2 linked regions of the Coturnix japonica genome follow. The protein of the gene in region 1 interacts with the protein of each later gene in a biochemical or structural test. Links are inferred from orthologs where the notes say so. Each region holds a gene or a part of one and is shown in the gene's direction. Other genes may lie near its edges.

Region 1 (9,834 bases):
CACAGAAGTTAAGCAGTGTTCATGAATCCCATCCCTCTCTCCCCCGAAAAGAAGCCACAAAAAACAACAGTGCAAACTATTTCAGATACAAAAGCTGTTAAATGATACCTCCAAACATAACTATGTAAGTACCTTGGCTTTAACGTGGACTGAGCTCTTGTTGCACTTGAGTTTGAAGCAGCTGGATCGGTAAATGAACTTTTAAATTCTTTTTCAGCCTGGTCTTCCTGCTCTTTTTTACGAGCCTCTGAATGAAGAGCACAGAAAAGACAATGTAATTTAAAGTCCTGCTGATAACAATGAAACAATTAGCTTTGTTTTAAGACTTCTTATATAAGTTATTTGAAAACAAAACAAAACAAACAAACAAACAAACAAAACAGTAAATAAAGAATTTCACCTGAAAATGGATGTTACTTTTGCAAATAATTAAATTTCCATCACTACCACAATGATCACTCAAAAAAAAAAAATAAATAAATAAATTAAAAAACAATTCCAGTTGCCAGCTTGCATAGTTGACCATACTTGTCAACAGCTGAAAATCTTCACATACCCAATGCTGATATTTCTACATTTTCAATGTTATATTAGAATAGTATTAATTACTTCAGAAAGCTCTTGAAATTTTCCTGCTCTATGAAGTTGAGCTAGAACTGAAGTTATCACAGGTGCTAACAACTTATTTCCCTTAAAATATATTTGGCTATCTTATTATTTATTTCCATTTCACTTATTGGAAAAGAACTCCTGTAGAACAAAATGAAACAGAACCTTCCATTTCAAAGTTGAATTAGGAATCTTATACAGCATGGTGGGATTAAGATACAGGAACAGATAAAGCTAGCATATTCCTAAGAGTGAGATACAGTTAAAATATTTCTAAGAATGTTCAAGTAACTTCTATAAAGCAAAGAAAAAAGCCCTCTCCTTCTATATGAGAAACAAGACTTTTTGTTTATTTGCATTGTGCGCAAACATTTTCCTCCAAAGAGAAACAGGAAGAGCTAAAACATACAGATTCAGATGACACATTATTTTAGTTCTCCTAAACGAGGCTAAAGGAGGAGAAGAGTTGTTTTCAAAAGAGATCATCAGAACTATCTCAATGTTGTAAGTCAGTAGTGTACCTTAAGAAAACTGATAAAAGTTCAGGGCATCAAATTAAAAATGCTGAATTACATATAAAGATTTGTCATTTGTAGAAAAAATGACTGAACTTGTAATCAATTATATGCTATGTTTCCTTTACGGGTAAAATTCCAGAAATCTTTCTTAGGGTTCCTTAAGATTCTTTTCAGAGAAAAGATGTCCAGGTGTAGTTCAGAATGTCTTGACTTAAAAACATTACACTCCCTTGAGTTTATTAAATTTCTCCTCTATATTAAATTTTTCTTCTAATCTTCAAGTGGGAGATGGTCTCCCAAAAGAGATGATAGTTTGATATGAACAAAAATTGAATCTAAACGATTTTCAACATAAAATAAATATTACTGTATTTTGATTTAGTACAAAAAAAAAATTCAAATTAAATCCTGGGGTCCCTTGTATATTTGAATTTCACAGTGTCTTAAATTGTATAATGTCAACAAGCACACACAGAGTTGAAGCTGTATGATTCCACATAGAATCAAGCAATAAAGAACTGCAATCCACTGATCTCATTCTTCTAACAGAATTGCATTTTCTTGATGAGGGGCTTCCACACTACTATATACTTCAAACACCTCAGAGAGAAAATACAATTTTTTCTCAGAAATAATCTGCGTAACGGTATCAGTAACACACAGAAAAAGAAATCAGACCAAAACAAAAACAGAATAACAACAAAAACACGCTCCATTTTCAGCACATACTAAGTGGAAGCAGAAAGCACAGGAGCTTGGAACATCAAAAAGAAATCTAGAATATTAGAGTCTTCCATCTTTGGCATAGTGCTTGTTTGGATATGAAAAGGAAAACATACAGCTCTCATCACCTTCTTCTCTCAGGCCTCCCACTGCCAGCACAGTAAGAAACAGAAAGAATTGTGAGATGCTGTGTAACTCACTGTGTGTGTCACAGAACACATTTCCCTTTTATTCTGTCTATCTAAATTAAAACTCTCTGAATCAAGATCCCTTTCAAAATAAAAGCAATAATCTAAGTTAACAGACTCTTTTAGCAGGGTGTGCTGTGATAGGACACATGGAATTGATTTCAAGCTAAAAGAAGGTAGATTTACATCAGGCATAATGAAAAGGGTTTGTTTTTTGTTTTGTTTTGTTCTATAGTAAAGGCAGTGAGGCACAAAAACAGGCTGCCCAGAGAGGTGGTACATGCCACATCCCTGGTGATATTCAAGACCAGGCTGCACCAGGATCTGACACCCTGATCTAGTTGTAGATGTCACTGTTCTGTCACTGGGGGGGGGGGGAGCCTGGACTGTTTGACCTTTAAAGATCTTTTCCAATTCAAACAATTCTGTGATCCTATGAAGACCTTTATATTTAATTTCAGCTTTCTTCCTGGATTGACGTGTAATGCCTCACAGCAGGAATCCTGCAGACACTGATCCCTTGCACACTCTCACAACATATATAAAAGGATAGTCCTCCCTTCTATCCACCCTCACAGTGTTCAAGATTGCTTTCCTGCAGCACAACTGCACTACTTCGTTCACTAAATAGCCAACCTGAGTCACTGGCACATCACTCCAATAGAGAAGAACAAAACACGTTGTAAAACACACTAGTTAACTGCTCACTCGTTTCTTACCCAAGACCTTCCTGCTCCTTTCCACGGCAGTTCTCCTGGTCTGTTCAAACATGGCTTCAAGATCGAAAGTCCGAGCCTTCTTCCCTAAAAACACACACAAGGGGGCAACTCAGCACGGCTCGCCCCGCTGAGAGCCGCTGTGGGCCCTCCGAGCAGCGTGAGTCGCCCGGTCCCGCAGCTCCCCTCCCGAGCCCCATAGCCGAGGGCCGCCGGCCTCAGCATCGCTCCCCGCTCCCTTCAGTCGCCCCCCGCCCGGCACTGAAACGCACCGAAACCCGAGAAGCCCATGGTGGCCGCCAGCTCCGGGTCGGGTCCCGCCAGCATCTCAGCGTCTGCAAAGAAGAGGGGAGAGGGAGAAAATAACGGCGGTCAGCGAGGGGTGACAAGGCTGAATCCGGCTCAGCCTGGCCCGCCACTCACCGCCTTCAGCAGCCGGCGACTCCATGCTGCGGCCGGCCCGGAACCACAACAGCCGCGGCAGGAAGCGGCGGGGCGGAGCGGGACACGGACAGCGGCACCGCCTCGTGGAGGCACGGAGTGTCCTGAACGTGGCGCTGCCGGGGCCAGCAGGGCCCCGCCCCTCTGCCGGCCACGAGGCTTTTCGGAACGGGCCTGGAAGCTGAGGACACCAGCAGCTCAGAGCCTTTCCCAAACCTCCGCACAGCTCCATGCCGTTCCCTCGGGCCCTGTCGCTGTCACAGAGCTCAGCGCTGCCCTCCGCTCCCTGTGAGGAGCTGCAGCTCCTCTGCTCTGTGCTGAGCACTCCCAGGGCCCTCAGTTGCTCCTCACACATTTTGCCTTCTGGACCTGTTACAGTGTGCTTTAAATAATAGTAGCAGTAGTCATGCTAAGGCTCGTAGTTAGGCCTAGTCTGTGTTTCTCACGTATCTAGGAATGCAAGTTGTGTTTCTTATGAACCCGAGCACGGATCTAAGTAATAAATCTTGCTTAGGAACAAAGCACAATGTATGTTAAAAATTAGGTTTAGATTTATGGTGTGATGGTAGAGCGGTTAAGCGTTTTAGAGAAAATGAATAGAAAACAGAAACGGGAACATCCAGTAACGTCACAGATTGAAGGAGGAGAAGAATGTACAGCACATTTCCTTAGGTCTTTGTGGGATAGTCTTACCTAATTGTAACCAAGGAAACATAACAAAAGAGGACGAAGCAATCCTGAAGAAAATGTATATAAACCTTGTGATTTCTTTATAGTTTGGGGCTCTGACTTTGGACGCTAGTCCTCAGGCTACCGGGGCCTCAATAAAGCACTGCATAAAACGACTCAGGTTTAAGGTGATGGGCAACAGACCCATCTTCATAGCCTTCTGTTTAACACCAATAGTTGTATGTTTCTTTAAGATGAATAAGCATACAGATTTTGTATAGAACACGGAGAAGTTAAACTGGGACAATTATCACATTGGAAAAGATAATCAGAATTAAACTAAATGACTTGCGGAATCAAACTCTATAACACAGAGATAGGTTATAAAGCAGGTATGTTTATTCCAGCGCCGGGTGCAAGGGGGATAGCTCCACCAAACTTGCACACTGACTTGTAAAATTGTGACACAGATATAGGTACATCTAATACATAGTCAATGATTTCTCAGAATTCTGATACATATTCAATAGTTGTTTAGCATGCAGACCCCCTCTTGTTCTTATCAGGGGGATGCAACTCCTCTTCTGGTATTTACAATATCTATTCTCCTCCTTGCCTGATGTCTTCCGTGAGCTCTCACTCCTTATCTGCATCCTTCCTGCTCTCCCAGGCCCCTTGTTTCCTTTACTTGTTTCTATAAGCTACCTTTAACTATCCTCCTTTTAGCCCCCCTTTATTCTAAATTCCAGCAGAGCATGTTTCCTGCTTCACTGTTCATAAAAGCGCTCACAAAAGAGACTCACAAGGAGCAATTTCCAGAGAGAGATCCTTCCTTGGTGGCACTCAGCCCTTAACGGGGTCTAGGAGAGCTGCAGCCAGGCTCCAGCCCTTCTGCTCACACACAATACTAACAGAACTTCCCATTTCAACTAGAGCGGGTTGAGAGTCCTGTTTCCCCCAATAATTTCGCATTAGGGATGTAACAGAATACTTTTATTTCTTGCCACATTTTGTCTCACAAGTAGCATGGGTCAGAACTGCACACAGGAACCAGCAACAACAAGCACAGCGCTGACGACACTGATTCCCCCTCCGACACGCCCCGCCCGGTACGCGGCGCCGCAGACGGAGCAGCGGAAGCGGACAATGCAGGGAGAGAACAGCAGAACATCAGCCCGCCTCTTCCGCCGCACAACCGCCACTCTCCATCTCTGCCGACGGAACAAGGAACTACGTCACGTCGTGAGGCCTGCCGGGATTTGGCGGGTGCGGGTCGGCGGGCTCGCGCGGTCGGTGTGTGTGCGGGGTGGTGCCGGCCCTCAGCCCGCTGCCGCTGTGCAGCCCCGCCGCCATGCCTGCTGCCATGAGCCCCACGGTGCCCGCCGGGCATGAGGCGCTGGAGATCGCGGGCCGCGTCATCGACCGGCAGATCCAAGACGATCGCTGCTACCCGGACCTCTCGGAGCTGCTGGCCGTGCCCGCGCCCGGTGAGCACCTCCCCGTAATCCTGCGTCGCCTCGGCCGCCCCGCTCCCGCTTCCCCTCCTGTCGCCCCGCCGCCTTTCGAAGCGCAGCCTCGTGAGGTGTCTGGAGTCCAGGCTCCGCCGTCCTTCCCGGGCCCACATGGCTTCTTAGAGTCCCGGCCGCAGCGGGGCTGGATCTGTGGCGGCCGGGCCTCGCGGCACACCGGGGCTGTAGTAGAGGCAGCAGAGGGGGAAGAACGGGCGTGTACTACTCCTCAGTCCTGTCTCCCACTGGAAGGGATTCGGGAGTTTGGTTTTCCGCTCATTTTCTCCCGCAGGCTGCTTTGAATGACTGATTTCTCGGCAGCCACATGTCACGTGTAGTTTGGTTGTTCTGAAAGTAATGCGTCCTTTTTGATAAAAGGAAACTGCAAGGGATACAAAGAGCGAAGTGACACTGAAAGGGCAAATTCCTAGCTACAAAACACTATTTGTCAACATAGTTGCCATCATTGGCTACACATTTTCACCTGTAGTGGAAATGAACCTGCATGCCACAGTCTGCTTTAGCAGAGCTGACCCACTGCTGCTGCTGCTGAAACATTTTCTTGTGCTCACACCCACTGTTCGGTCACTGTAAGCATTCAATAAACAGTGATGGATGTCAGTGGGTGCCATTTTTAGATACGGAGAAATTCAGTAACGTACCTTTGCTTCCTATGCACTTTCACATCAGATGCCGTTTTGTCAGACTCCCCCTCTGATGCCATCTGTCAGAGGGCAAGAAAATATAGTGCAATATTGGCAGGGAGGTTCATTGTCTACTGCCATACTCCAACATTTGCTTCTGATGTCCTGGACCAACAAATTAGGAAGCATTACTTTCAGAACAGCCTTCCCTAGTTAAGATTTAAGGTACAACTCTTCTCATACACTTGTTTTGTCCTTTTTGAAACATCACAGCAGCATCAGCTACTGTGTACAGCCACCCACCTGTCTGAGTGAGCAGTAAGAAAGCACTGTAAAAGTGCAGGTGATCTGATCAATGTGCATTCAGTGAATGCGTTCAGACAAGAGTATCTATTTCTTGATACCGTAATGAGTGTGTAGACAAAGTGTAGCTGCCTATCTCATCAGAGAGTTGCGTTAGGTAAGATAATACAGAGGCTTGGAAAGTTTAAATTTAAGCTAAGAGCTAAGAATACACTTTTTCTAGGTGAATGAAGATGCTCCTGGGTTGTTCACATGACATTTATTGCCAGGTCATATGATGAAAAAAGGGTAAGAGAGGATCATGGAGAAGGCAGCATTAAAAGTAGTCTGGGGGACAGATGAATTATCCTAGGAGTTAGCTTGTAAATCTGTTTACAGATTTATTTTTACTGATTAAGGAAAAAAAAAAAAAAAAATCAGGGGAAAATAGAGAATTGTTTTATGTGTGAAAACACCCACTTCTTTAAAGGAAAGCTTATTTTTGTTGTTCTTAATTGCAGGTAGCCCTACTGTTTCTGGCATGACAGATATGGATTATCCTTTGCAAGGTCCAGGCTTGCTGTCAATACCTAATCTTCCAGAAATCAGCTCGGTTCGCAGAGTCCCGCTGCCCCCAGAGCTGGTGGAGCAATTTGGACGTATCCTATGAAAAATAATGTGTTGGGTTTTGTGTGTAATAGTACTGGTATTGGACTTCTACATTTTTATAATCATTTTTTCTTTAATACTTCTGTCAGACTCCTATTAATGAACTTTGATATTGGTTATATTCACATTTCAAGGCTCCAAGTGGTAATACGGTCAATTTGTGTAGAGGTGCTGGTGGAATTAGTTCCCGTATGAGAAACTTCATATTTATGGTACATAGCTTGTTTATTGCTTTATATAGAGCAGTTTTTGTTTTTTGTAATATTCCAAAGGGGATTGTCCTTGTTGGTCTAAACACATTTAGTCCTTACATTAGTAATACTTCAGATATGCAATGCAATTGTATGATGGGAGTATTTCCAGAAATCAGCAGAGCTTGGCTAACAATTGACAGTGATATTTTTATGTGGAACTATGAAGATGGGTACGTTAACACATTCTTGATTATATATTGTTGATATTATGTCTTAACTAAGCATTTGTAACAGTTGGAGATTGTTTACTTGCAGTGTAGAGGTGTGCTGTTCTGTCAAAGTTACCTTGATTTCTATTAGTTTTCACTAAAACTTTTAAGTAATACGTGTTGGAGGAGTTTGGGGAGTTAGCAGTAATGCTGACAAATCATCTAGAGATGAAAGAACTAAAAGTGCTTTTTCTTAGAGTTCAGCATTAAATGATATCCTATAATTCCTATTTTAATATGCTAGGCTTTGATCATGCTAAAGAAAGTAAAAGCATAGAAAAAGCGTATTAATTGCCTGACTGTTCTAAGTAGATTGGGTAAGTACAGTGGTCAGTGGTTATTTATGATAGTGTTTTAACTATATATTCTATGTAATAACCATTTCAAATAGCAGTTTTTAATATCCAGATTGGTCAGATTCTTTTTTTGCTTGTATTCTTGTGGGTTTTATATGTGTATGAATATTAAGAGGAATTTATTTATAGAATTTGTTGAGTTTTGTTTTCTCCTCACATCACTCCTCCCCTTACATATACATTGTATAATAAAGTATAAAGCACATTAATTAACTATTTACCAGATAATACAATTCTTTATGGTGTTAAGTTGCTAGGGAGGAGGTTGGGACTTGTTTTTGTTAGATTTTTTTTGTACGAAAAAGATGCTATATATGTTCCTTCCTCTGGATGTTAATTGTCATTACAGATGCTAGTTAATGTAATTCAGTGGACTGTGTAAATTAACTAAATCCGAAACCATAAAATAGTGCAGTTTGGTTTCAGGTTTGAAATGTACCTTTAGGGAGATGTGTCATTTCATTCTGCTGGATCTGTTTTCACCCAAAGCAAAAAATGTAGATACCTTCCAAACATTACGGTGTATATTCAAAGTGTTGTAAGAAGTATTAAGAACTCTAAAATATGGGTATCTGATATTGTTTACTGTGCTACTATGTGATATGTTACGCAATTTATGCACTTGCGTGTTTTCTTGTTTTGTTAACAGCGGAGATCTGGCTTACTTTGATGGCCTTAGTGAAACTATACTTGCAGTGGGTCTTGTAAAGCCAAAGGCAGGTAAGAAGTATATGGCAGTGATTAGGCTTACATAGTAACTAATCTCCTATGTGTGGTTTTTGTATGTACTTCCATAAAAACCTTTGTTTTACATGTATATATGCAATATAAATTGTTTTGTCTTTAGATACATGATGTAATAAATTGCAAGTGAAAAGTATTGTTTAAGTCACAATGATAAGCTTGAAAGAAATCTCATGTTGTACTCGCATTTGTTAATTTGTTAATACATTGCCACAATAACTTCCTAGAGATTCTGATTTCTAGTGCTTGCAGTTCTTTCAACACCTGAACATGATATAACATTTAAGTAGATACTGAAGTAACTTTATAAAAGAATCCTAATTAATTAACAAGTAAAGTGTTTTGAGAAAACAATGTTTTTGAGTTCTTGTATTTCATGAAGCAGAAGCTGAGCTGCTAACTATTACTCCTTCGTAGCTCTAGAATTTTCTAGACCACAATCTAACTGTACTACCCTAACTCTAACAGCCCTTTGCTAAATCATGTCCCTGGGCACCACATCCAAACTGTTCTTAAACACATCCAGGGACAGTGATTCAGCCACCTCCCTGGGGAGCCTATTCCAGTGCTTAACATCCATTTCTGTAAAGAAGTGTTTCCTGATATCCAACCTTAGCTTACCTTTGTGCAGATTGAGGCCATTTCCCCTTGTCCTGTCACCATTGAGAAGAGACCAACACTGCTCTGACTGTAAGCATCTTTCAGGTGTTTAAAGAGAGCTGTGAGGTCTCCCTTCTGCCTCCTTTTCCCCAGACTAAACATCCCCAGTTCCTCAAAAATGGCTGTTACCTCTAAGCATTTGTTGCATTGATCTCATTAATATGGTGGATACAATCATTGTGAGTCTTGAGAGCTTGACTGCAAAGTAAAATTTGATATTCTTTCCTTCTTTAGGTATATTTCAACCTCATGTACGACACTTACTTGTTCTGGCAACCCCTGTGGATATCGTGATCTTAGGGCTCAGCTGTGCAAATACACAAACAGGTAGGTGTCTCTTTCTTATATTTCTCCACCTATGTGAATTACAGAAATGGTTGTGCATTAACAGTTATATAAGTATCTACTAGTTATGTTATTACTAACAAATAAAAATAAAAACAAGACCACACATCTGCTAATTTTAAATCATGTTAGAGACATGGTACAGTAATTTCATTTTTATAGGATGAGTACCTTCTGGATCCAAAACTGACATAGGACCAGAGAATTGTAGTGTTCACTTGTTTAAAGTGAAATAAACATTTGAAACAGATTTTCCTGTTATTAAACCTTATGAGGGGAAGAAGAGATTGTCATGAGTC
Region 2 (9,974 bases), on another chromosome or scaffold:
AACATGGACCTGTCTGTCATGATCGCGGATCTTCGTCAGCGGGTAAGGGACTGGCAGAAACCTCTTACAGCGCAGAATCCCTCACCTCCTACAGAGACCTCTCACCCTGAGACCAAGATGAATCGCTGACCGCAGGAAGGTTGGAGCCGCTCCGTCTCTGTTCTTGTCTCTTGTTGAAAAGATTAAACGTGCACTGCAAAATAAAGGTGTGTGCCATGTCTTTGTGTGAGAAGCTAGCAGCGTAGCTACCCGCATTCCTTACTGCTTGGAAGGTTTTGAATCCCATGGTGCAAAACCATCATGGGACCTGAACAGCAGCATGACAACGCTTGCAGATGTCACCGCTCCCTTCTGTTACTTCCATCACCTTGCTGGCTTTCCCTCCTCTGGTCTTTTGCTTGTTTTTTCACCCTCGTCTCAGGTTGTTTTCCCAGTCCCTGTTTTATGTTCCCAGGAGCACTGTGTAGGTGTTCCAGGACAGCTGTAGACAGGCAGGACATCTACAGTCGTGCCTCAGGATGCAGCAAATAATCTTATAGTCTTGACAGCTTTACTCTCCTTGGCTTGGAGTGGTAAACCTTCCTCGTGTTTAAGTCTGTGGTGTCTCTGTGGCCTCCTGTCAGGTATGTGGCTGTTCTTAATGCGTGTGCTTTGCTGTACTTAGAGGTGTCTGCTCTGCATGCAAGCTTTACCAACCTGGCTTTCCCTTTTGTAGTAGTGAAGAACTTTCTCATACCCAATATGAGAAATATTATAATACCTATCATATTTAAGCGTTAGCTGGAAGCTCCAATGAAATGATGTTTTGTGTGCTCAGAGCTTTGCCTTCTATCCAGTGTTTCTTTTCTAGGACTCTCCAGAAATATGAACTGAGCATTTCCTTCCTGGAGAGCAGCGTGTGTTTTATTGAGGGGGTTGGTCGTGTGTGTGCAGTGACTGTTCTGTAAAGTAACTAATGGCTGTGATTTTTAGATTGAGCTCCAGGGGGACAAAATGGAGATAACAAGAGAGAGGTATCTGTCTGCCCAGGAGGAGAAAAAGCAGCTCACCTTGAAGGTGGAGGAGCTAGAAAGGTTAGAAACATGAGGCTCTCTTGTTCCGTTAACTTTTCCTTTCTGTACTCTGTGTTTTTCTTTTCACAGAATTGAAACATCTCCAGTCTTGTTCGAGTGCCCCACAGGTCTCCAGGTTCTGCACATTTACTCGTCTCACAGGGATCTCTAATCAGTAACTGTCTACTAGAGAGGGATTTGTAGGTTCTTGCAGCAAACCTGATGAATGTTGTTAGAAAGGACTGTGCCTGCCCAGCAGATAACAGCTGTGGTACCAGCCCGGCTGGACAGTTTTGATGTTACTGAATATTGGAGGTTTTTATCCATGTTTATCAGTTCTTCTTAGTGACAACATCTGGAGAAAGGTGTGTGTGTGAATCCTCAGTGTCCCTCAGTCTTTGGAGTTCTGATTAGAGAAATGAAGAAGTATTTAATAGGGCACAGAGTCACCTCCCAGACCAGACAAGACCTGACCAAAAGGTAGTCTGAAATGCTCTCCATTTAAAATGAATAGGTTTTCTTGCCTTGTCTTAACCTAGAAAACTAGAAACAACAAGCGCCCAGAACATGGAGTTCCTGCAGGTCATAGCAAAGCGTGAGGAGTCCATCCATCAGTGCCAGCTGCGGTTAGAAGAGAAGACCCGGGAGTGCAGCTCTGTGGCTCGTCAGCTGGAAATGGCCATTGAAGATGCCAAACGACAGGTAAGGGGTTCTTGTTTGTTATGTCCCTGCAACTACCCAGGCTGTAAAACTGAAATGTTCCCCAGCCTATGACCCAACTATTGAAATAATCACATTTGATGGAATGCAAAAGATGTTTTGGTACCGTTTGATAGTTCTCAAACCTTTGAGAAATGGAACTCCGTGCTATTGTTTGCAACAGAAGTAAGAAAAGCCCTGGGCTGACCTGCTGCTTATGTCCAAGTAAACGTGCAGGGGATTTCGGGCAGTAAGGCAGGGCAGAATCATTTTCCACAGACACCTCTCCTACAAGGTTGTTTCTCTGTTACGTGCAGGTCGAACAAACTCGAGAACGAGCAACATCCAGAGAGAGGGCAGCCCAGTCCAAGGTGCTGGATTTGGAGACACAGCTGAGTAGGACAAAGACAGAGCTGAGCCAGCTGCGGCGGAACAAAGACGATGTGAGTGATCTGTGAGGAGTGCTGGCTGTGCTGGCAGCAGTTGTCTCTTGTTATTCACTGTCCGGTTGCTGAATGATGTTGGGAACGAGCACAACAAACGATAAAGGCTACAGCACCACCCATGGCAACGCCATCTACTGCTGTGCTCATCTTTGCTGCCTGCAGGGATTTCTTGGAACAACTTAAGGAGTGACAGGGTGAGCTGTGCTGTCCTTCATCCTGCGCTCTGTGCTTTGTTACAGGCAGAGCGCCGCTACGAGAGCCGCCTGCAGGACCTGAAGGACCGGCTGGAGCAGTCGGAGAGCACAAACCGCAGCATGCAGAACTACGTCCAGTTCCTCAAATCTTCCTATGCCAACGTGTTTGCTGACAGTGCCTTGCTGGGCTCTCCCAGCCGCTCTCGTTCTTCTCCATGAGGTCAGCGCTTGCTCTGCACCTCTGCTTTGAAGCACAAAATGAGCACTGTGTCAAAGCCATGCGTAGTGTAGAAGATGGGCTGAGAATGGAGAAATTTCAGGGTCACTGAAGGGAGGAGGTGATGGGATGGTGACGGCATGCAGTCTGAGCATGCAGAGCATTAGCAGCGCTGGTCTGGTGATGGATGGTGATGGAGGTTGGTGTCATTCTGTAAGCTGTGCCCAAAACCAGATGGTTTTGCATACAGTGGTAAAGGCCCTTTTCATCCTCTGAGCTCTGGCTGGTTTCAGCCCTTTCAGCCCAGCAGTGCTTTTAGTTGTGTTCATGTTTGTCAGAGCTGTTTTCCCACACTTCATTTTTTTCCTTCCCCCTGTTCTGTGTCCTGGGGTTGATCATGTTCTATTTCTGCTTCTTGTTATTACATGGATGGGATGGTGGAAGCCCACCCACCCCTCAGGGGGGCGAGAAGCTGAAAATAGGGGCCATGCTGGGGCTTTATGCTTACAAGAGGTTCTTCTGAAGCACTGCAGTGTTTGCAAACAGTTTTATAGCAGAAATGATGATTTATGTTTGTTTGTTACATTGACTCGTGTTGTACTCAGTGATCTTTGCTTTATTTAGTGTGTTCTCAATTTGCTTTACCCCACACCCCAACCCTGACCCTCCTGAGCCCAAACAGCCCCAGGACTGTGCCCAGACCAGCTGTATTCAAAGGGCAGGTTGCAGCTCAACCTCAGCCGGGTCTCACTGTGTGAATTCAGTGTGTGCATGAAGCGCTGATCAGCTGGCAGCCCATTGCACTGATCAGCTGGCAGCCCATTGCACTGATCAGCTGCTGCTCAGTGCCTCCATCAAACCAACCTGTGATGCTCTGTGCTCTGTGCCCTGTTCTGCTCCTCCCTGCGGCTGGTTCCTGGTGGGGATTAAAGCCAACGTTGCTTTTGTTTTTAACCCTACTCTATCCTACGGCTGTGCACGGGGGGGTGTTGTTTGTCATAAAGCTTTTCTGAGATAATCGTTATTTGAGAACGCGGTTATTTGGTGTGTCACTTTTTAAAAGGAAATCCTAAAGGTGCTATGGAGAAAACGATATAATAAATTGTGATTGATGATATGGGAGTGTTTGTTATCAGTGCGCTGCGCACAAAGGCATCTGGGCTTTGTTTGGAGGGGCTGGAGGAGCAGTGCACGCACACAGCCTACGAACCGCCCGCCCCGCAACGCCCGCAGCGGCTGTTGGGTGCAAAGCGCGAGGAGCAGCGGCACAACCGACCCGGTAACGGACCCGCTGCTCCTCCCTGCCGGGCTCACGGCTCCTCCCGGCCGCCAGGGGGCGATGGCGGCGCGGCTGGGGAAGCGGAAGTCGCTGTGCGCCCAGCGGGATGACGGCGCGGCCTATGAAGGCTCCGGGTCGGCCATGCAGGGCAGGGATCTGCGATGGGAGACGCTGGAAGCGCTGCGAGCGTCCAGCAAAGGGCGGCTCAAATACTGCCGGCACTCGGACAGGGACGAGGTGAGGAGCCCGGTGGGCCGCGATGGCGGAGCCCGTCCCGGCCGTGCGTTACCGTTACCTTGCCGATCCGTTCTCCGCAGGACATCTTGGAGGGATGCATCTCCCCTCTGATGCTGACCTCGTACGCCGGGTGGGTCCTGGACAAGATGGCCGGTTCGGCGGCCCAGACAGCGGCACCGCCCGGTTCTGCACCCAAAGGTGCCGCTCCGCGATCAGATCCGGCGGCTGAGAAGAGCTCGGAGTCCGGCTGCGAGGAGGGGCAGGGATCCGCAGCTGCAGCGAGGAGCCAAACCAAGGTAACTCTAATTACTGAGAGCTGCTGATACGTTTTGTGTTGTGCTCCATTAACGTGCGGGGCAAAGGCTGCTCTGCTCCAGCTCTATGTATCATAACCGGGGTGATAAAGTGGGTACAAAGAGCATCGTTCCCTTTGATGGAAAGGAGGGAGGCTGGCAGGGAAGCTGAGCTGTGGGGCTGTGAGGTTGGTGAAGCCCTGATGAATGTTGGTAGCTCTGTGTTGGAGGGGCAGTCACTGATCCCACCTTGTGCCGGCTCCGCAGGGACACAACGATCCCGCTGTGCTGGAGGTGAATGTCGAAGTCCTTCCCATCCCTCCTGTATCTAAAATGGCGAAAGTTGAAGGCTGCATTCAGATGTATGAGGAGATATACAGGATGAAGGGAAGGGTAAGTAGAAATAAAAGCATGACTGAGCCTAAACCACTGTGTGGGATATTGGTGTAGGACAGCGTCACACAGATCACATCGCTGGCTTTATGTGTGTTTCCTTGGTGTGAATTGGGCTGCTCCATGGAGGTGCATCCTGCAGGAGAGGCTGCGGCAGCGGCAGGAGCAGCAGGAGCAGATGGTGAGAGCAGCGTACGACATGGCGAGGGAACAGCTGAAACGCTTCGATGAGATGAAGGAGCTGAAGCGGCGTCAGGAGATCCAGGAACTGCGGGAAGTGATGGAGAAGAGGTGAGAGTGACTCTGGTATCCTTGGGATGTTATAATGTTTAATCAAAGGGGGGTTAATACTTGACAACGCTTGTATTGTACTGTGTGGGGGTGTATATGCGTGTTTGTGTTTCCTTGCTCGTGTCTTTAATGGAATGCTTTTGCTGTGCCTGTTTTAGTTTGAAGGAAACTCAGGGACAGCAAGAGAAGCTGAAAGAAGAGCATCGGCACAGAGCAAAGGTGTGTGATAGTTCTGTGTTATCAGACAGGCAGCACAGTTTGTCAGTCATTGCTATTCCAGGCTCTGTAGTACTTCTATGGGGGGAATTCAGACCATAACTGGTGTAAAATCATGAGATTTTGTGCATCTTCCTTTCCCCGAGGCAGGAAGGTCCCCAAAGCTGCCCTTACTGAACTTTGCCTCTTCCTCTCTCCAGATACTGAACCTAAAGCTGCGCGAGGCAGAGCAGCAGAGGCAGCGCCAGGAGGAGCAGGAGCGGCTGCGTAGGGAAGAAGGCCAGGAAAGATTACGTCGCCTTTATTCCATTCAGGAGGAACTGCTGCAGCTGAACCAGCAGATTGATCCCAATTACAAGCACAAGGACCTGCCGAAAATTGACCTTTCTGCATATAGCAATCGAGGCAACCAGATCTGTGGGCTGGTGTCAGAGCTCATCCGAACCACAAGTGAGGTAGAGAGTTGTTCTTCCCTTTGCTTGCCTCTTCTTAAAGCTTCCCACTGTTCTCTTCCAAAGCAGCTTATTCAAACATAGCCCAGCACTTCAAGGCTCTGGGCTCTTTGATATAGCAGTCTACATATAGCAGAACCAACGGCTGATGCTACGTTGCCTTCTCTGTCTCTTGATAGAGAGGTTTCCCTTCCCAGCTGGATGTGGCCAATACCGAACAAGCCCTGAAGGAAATGCGAGGGCTGGTCTCCAACATGCAGCAGGAAATCGCTGCAGCAGTGGAAGAAAAGAAGAGGAGAGATGAGCAGGAAAAGAAACAGAAGCAGGAGGAGTTACTGAAGAAGCAACAGGCAGAAGCTCAGACTCCTGCCCCTGCACAGCCAGCGGGAGGGAAGCAGCAGAAGGACGGTTGGCTGGGTTTTATTTTCTCTCCTCACCCTCCTTTTCTCTTTCTGGTCTATTTTACTGTTTAGCCAGATGCTACTTTGGAATGTTATTCTTGTGACAACACAACTTCTCTAACTTTTCCAATTGTTGCTGTATTTTTTTTACATAGCACTTTCAGTTAAGGCAGGGGAAGACACTATGAAACGGTACCAACAGCTTCAAGATGCTGCGGCCCAGTGTGCTGCTGCTTTCAGTGCAATGAGCAGCTCCAAAGACAGCGAGGTACGAACAATGATGAACACTGACGGGTGGTTATCTTCCTCTCCTGTAGATAAGAGGGAGCTTTCATTAGCACAGTTTCCAACAGCAGCCTCTGCACAGTCTGCTGGTTCACACTGTGGTGTCACTGAAGGCGTTTCAGCCTTGGTCAGCCCTCTTGCTCTGTGAAGGTTTTCAGAGTGCTGGTGGGGTTTTTAATTGTTGTTGTTGTTCTTCTGCAGGTCAGGAAGATAAGAATGGAACTGCAGAAAGCTGTTACCATCCCTGTGAGCCAGATCTCGACCATTGCAGGTCAGGAAAACGCTAAGAACCCAACTGTAATGAATGCCTTTAGCTGCTGATTTTAGTAGGACACCAAGTATCCAGTTTCTATGATTACCCCTATGAGAGAGAGCTGCTGTAGGAAGCTCCCAATTCTTTGGAGCACAGCATTGCTCATGGTTTTCAAGCATGTCAGTTCCTTCAGACACACCTTGTTTCATCAGGGTTCAGTTTCTTTAATCACAGCAGTTGGAGGAGCCTCGTTCTTCAGGGCCCAGATCTGTTGATGGGATCTGATTAAGGCTCTTCTGCTTTTTCCTGACCTATCTGTACATCTCTGCTCTATTTACAGGCTCTCAGCTAAGACAGATATTTGACAAGCTCAATAACTTGCTCTCTGGAAAGCCTGTTCAGAGCGTAGGGGAAACTGTATTGGTGACTCAGCTCCCACAAGGCCTGGATTTTGTTTATTACAAGCTTGCAGAGAAATTTGTGGTGAGGCACTGTTCTCTTTATCGAGCAGATAAATGTAACTGGTGCTTTAGGAAGCTCTTTGGGATGCTGCTGTCCTTCTTTAACTGTTTCTTTCCCCCTTCCAGAAACAAGGAGAAGAAGAGGTTGCTTCTCACCGTGAGTCAGCCTTCCCGATTGCACTGGTGATATCAGGGATCTGGGAAATGCACCCTCGAGTCGGAGAGCTCTTCTTAGCTCACCTGCACAAGGCGTGCCCCTATTCCGTGCCATTCTACCCTGCATACAAGGAGGGGACTTCTATGGAAGAATATCAGAGGTAAATTAATGACTGAAGTTCTTCAGCGTCTGCTCTAGAAGGACAAAGAATACATTCTCCTGAATGAACTCCACTTCTTCCATCTTTGATTACAAGGCACTGTGCCATGTTGGCAGAGGCTCTGAAGGTTTACTCAGAAGTGTGCAGCCCTGGAGGGTGCTGTGTCCTTTGGAAGTATTTTTAGGGATAATGGATGCTCTTTTGCTTCATCTTCCTTGTCCTCCTCAAATAGCAGATAACAGCCACAGCTTGATTTCGGCTGAAATATCCACTGCAGAACCTAAAGATTCTGCACGATATAAACCAGTGGAAAATATGATCCACAATGTAACAATCAGCCTTTGCAATAATTCTTAGTTTTAGAGTATCCCTTATCTCAGCACAGCTGACTTAAAGCTGAGAGCTGCACAGATTCATGTGAAGCACTGAGTTGTACTAATAATGCAATGTCTCCTATTTAGGATGCTGGGGTATCATGTTCAGGATTCTAAGATGGAAGAGGAAGATCATTTTCTTAAGCGGATGTCAGGACTGATTCGTCTGTACGCTGCTCTCATTCAGCTCCGCTGGCCTTATGGGAACAAACAAGGGGTATGGATGTGTAACAGCACAGTCAGAACTTTGCTACACCTTTACTTTTGCAGTGTTTTCATCACAATCAAGTTGTATGTAAGGCTGTTGTAAAATAACTCTATGAAAGAGAATGGAAGTTGAAAGCAATGTCTTTTTATAATAGCGTTTTGCATGTTGTGTAGCATTGTTTTACTGCTTTACAGGCACATCCTCATGGGCTGAACTATGGCTGGTGCTGGCTCGCTCAGATGCTGAACATGGAACCTCTGGTGGTGGTGACAGCCACGCTGCTCTATGATTTCCTGGAGGTCAGTGATGTCGCAGTGTGAGCGCATGTAGCAGCTGATTCTTTCTCATTGATACCAAACAAGGTGATGGAAGGTGTCACGCTGATCTGAGGCCCAGGTCTGCAATGTGATCTTTGTTTCCGAACTGCAGGTGTGTGGCAATGCTCTGATGAAACAATACCACGTTCAGTTCTGGAAGCTGTTGTTGCTGATGCAAGAAGACTACATCCCACGGTACGATGGTTGTGTTCGGATGGGAAATAGTCCCGCTCTTCACCTTTCGAGTGCTTGCTTTTAAGAGACTCTTCCACCTTTTCCCATCTCTGACATTCGCTCTCTATCTGCTTGTAAATCAAACTCAGCTGAGTCGGTTTTGAGACACGCTGTTATTCCTGCAGGATTGAAGCAATTACCAACGTTGGACAGAAGGCCTCTTTAACGCGTTTCAAGCAATTCCTGGAGGTAAAACAGCATATTTCAGTTCTCAAATCGTTTTCTTTCCTTTGCTCTGTTCAATACGTGCATCATTCCAATAATGAAGCTGGTGCTGCCAGCAGCACACTTGATAGTCCAGCCTTGTAACTACGGTGTAACCTGGCTTTTGGTCACTGAATTCTCTTAATGATAATTGTGATGTTGGGCATCTCGCTTCCTTCTTACCTCAGGTGTATTTTTCTCAGTGTTGATGTATTCTGATGTAACGGATATTCAGTGAAGGCTGGTGGCAGTGAGAGGAGGCAGACAGGTTGGGGAGGGTTGTGCTGAGTCATTTCTAACAGCTGAATTTCGTCAGCAGCTCGCTTGCTTTTGCTGTTGCCCTGATTAGCTGAGTGAGGAAGGAGGTGTTTGGAGCTGCTCTTTGTAGCATCTGTGCAGTATTGTGTTTTGCACAGGTTATTTTAGAGGAAGCCTGCAGAACTGTTAAATGCTGCATTTTGTTTTGTGAATGTTGTGTTAAACCGAAGCTATCGTGTTTTAATACACCACAGTTTGCAAACAAACAAACTTCTGTATGCTTCATTAACAGTATAAGGGATGGCAAACTATGAGATCTATTTCTTATTCCTTTCCTCACTTTGTTTCATTGTCTTTTCTCCACTAGGAAAGCCTCCAGAAGAAGGACATCCCGTTACCAAAGGGCTTCCTGCAGCCTTCCTTTTGGAGGTCCTGAATTGCTGCACTCTTCATCCTCCCTGGATATCAATGCTGGCAGAGCTGCTTCTTAAGTGCACGCGTTGGACTGTGATGGACAGGGAGTTCACGTTCCATCCATTGGTTTCAGTTTAATAAGAAGTTTATGTTGGACAGAACAGAGTCTCGTTTGATTTGTTGGAAGTGATGGAAGCTGTTCTTTGTGTTTTTATAAGCTTTTGTATAGTAAATTATGGACCACTGAGGATTTTTCCTTTTTTAGAAGTGCAGAAGATGCTTTAAATGCAGCATTTCTGATTACTAATAGACTTCAGAATTGAAACATTTGCTTGGTGCTGTTCTGTTCACAAAATGAAAATACCTCAAAGCCGTAAGGAGTCTTAACAGAGCAATCAATCATGGAAACACGCTGGGGAGACTTTAAGTTTTATTATTTATTGCATCTCGCTATTATGATTTGTTTTCAGCTCTGGTGA

What was found. The genes of interacting proteins can lie anywhere in the genome.
Region 2: the proteins of NUP155 (region 1) and GLE1 form a complex in vitro, tested with the Homo sapiens proteins (2 studies listed by BioGRID). The link is inferred for Coturnix japonica from reciprocal best matches to the Homo sapiens genes NUP155 and GLE1.

The regions. Positions count from the first base shown.
Region 1 is NC_029547.1:10,555,399-10,565,232, reverse strand, and holds the start of NUP155 (nuclear pore complex protein Nup155), read left to right. Parts: upstream 1-5,215; coding exon 5,216-5,351; intron 5,352-6,819; coding exon 6,820-6,957; intron 6,958-7,294; coding exon 7,295-7,391; intron 7,392-8,435; coding exon 8,436-8,506; intron 8,507-9,424; coding exon 9,425-9,517; intron 9,518-9,834. Other genes in the region: WDR70 (WD repeat-containing protein 70), read right to left, coding at 133-247, 2,758-2,841, 3,027-3,089, 3,178-3,202.
Region 2 is NC_029532.1:3,853,074-3,863,047, forward strand, and holds the start of GLE1 (nucleoporin GLE1), read left to right. Parts: upstream 1-3,857; 5' UTR 3,858-3,947; coding exon 3,948-4,124; intron 4,125-4,204; coding exon 4,205-4,420; intron 4,421-4,684; coding exon 4,685-4,810; intron 4,811-4,952; coding exon 4,953-5,101; intron 5,102-5,259; coding exon 5,260-5,320; intron 5,321-5,517; coding exon 5,518-5,772; intron 5,773-5,948; coding exon 5,949-6,177; intron 6,178-6,325; coding exon 6,326-6,438; intron 6,439-6,656; coding exon 6,657-6,726; intron 6,727-7,048; coding exon 7,049-7,191; intron 7,192-7,295; coding exon 7,296-7,486; intron 7,487-7,947; coding exon 7,948-8,077; intron 8,078-8,262; coding exon 8,263-8,367; intron 8,368-8,497; coding exon 8,498-8,580; intron 8,581-8,744; coding exon 8,745-8,808; intron 8,809-9,448; coding exon 9,449-9,517; 3' UTR 9,518-9,974. Other genes in the region: ODF2 (outer dense fiber protein 2), read left to right, coding at 1-42, 973-1,073, 1,592-1,754, 2,069-2,194, 2,437-2,610. UniProt on the Homo sapiens protein: Required for the export of mRNAs containing poly(A) tails from the nucleus into the cytoplasm. May be involved in the terminal step of the mRNA transport through the nuclear pore complex (NPC).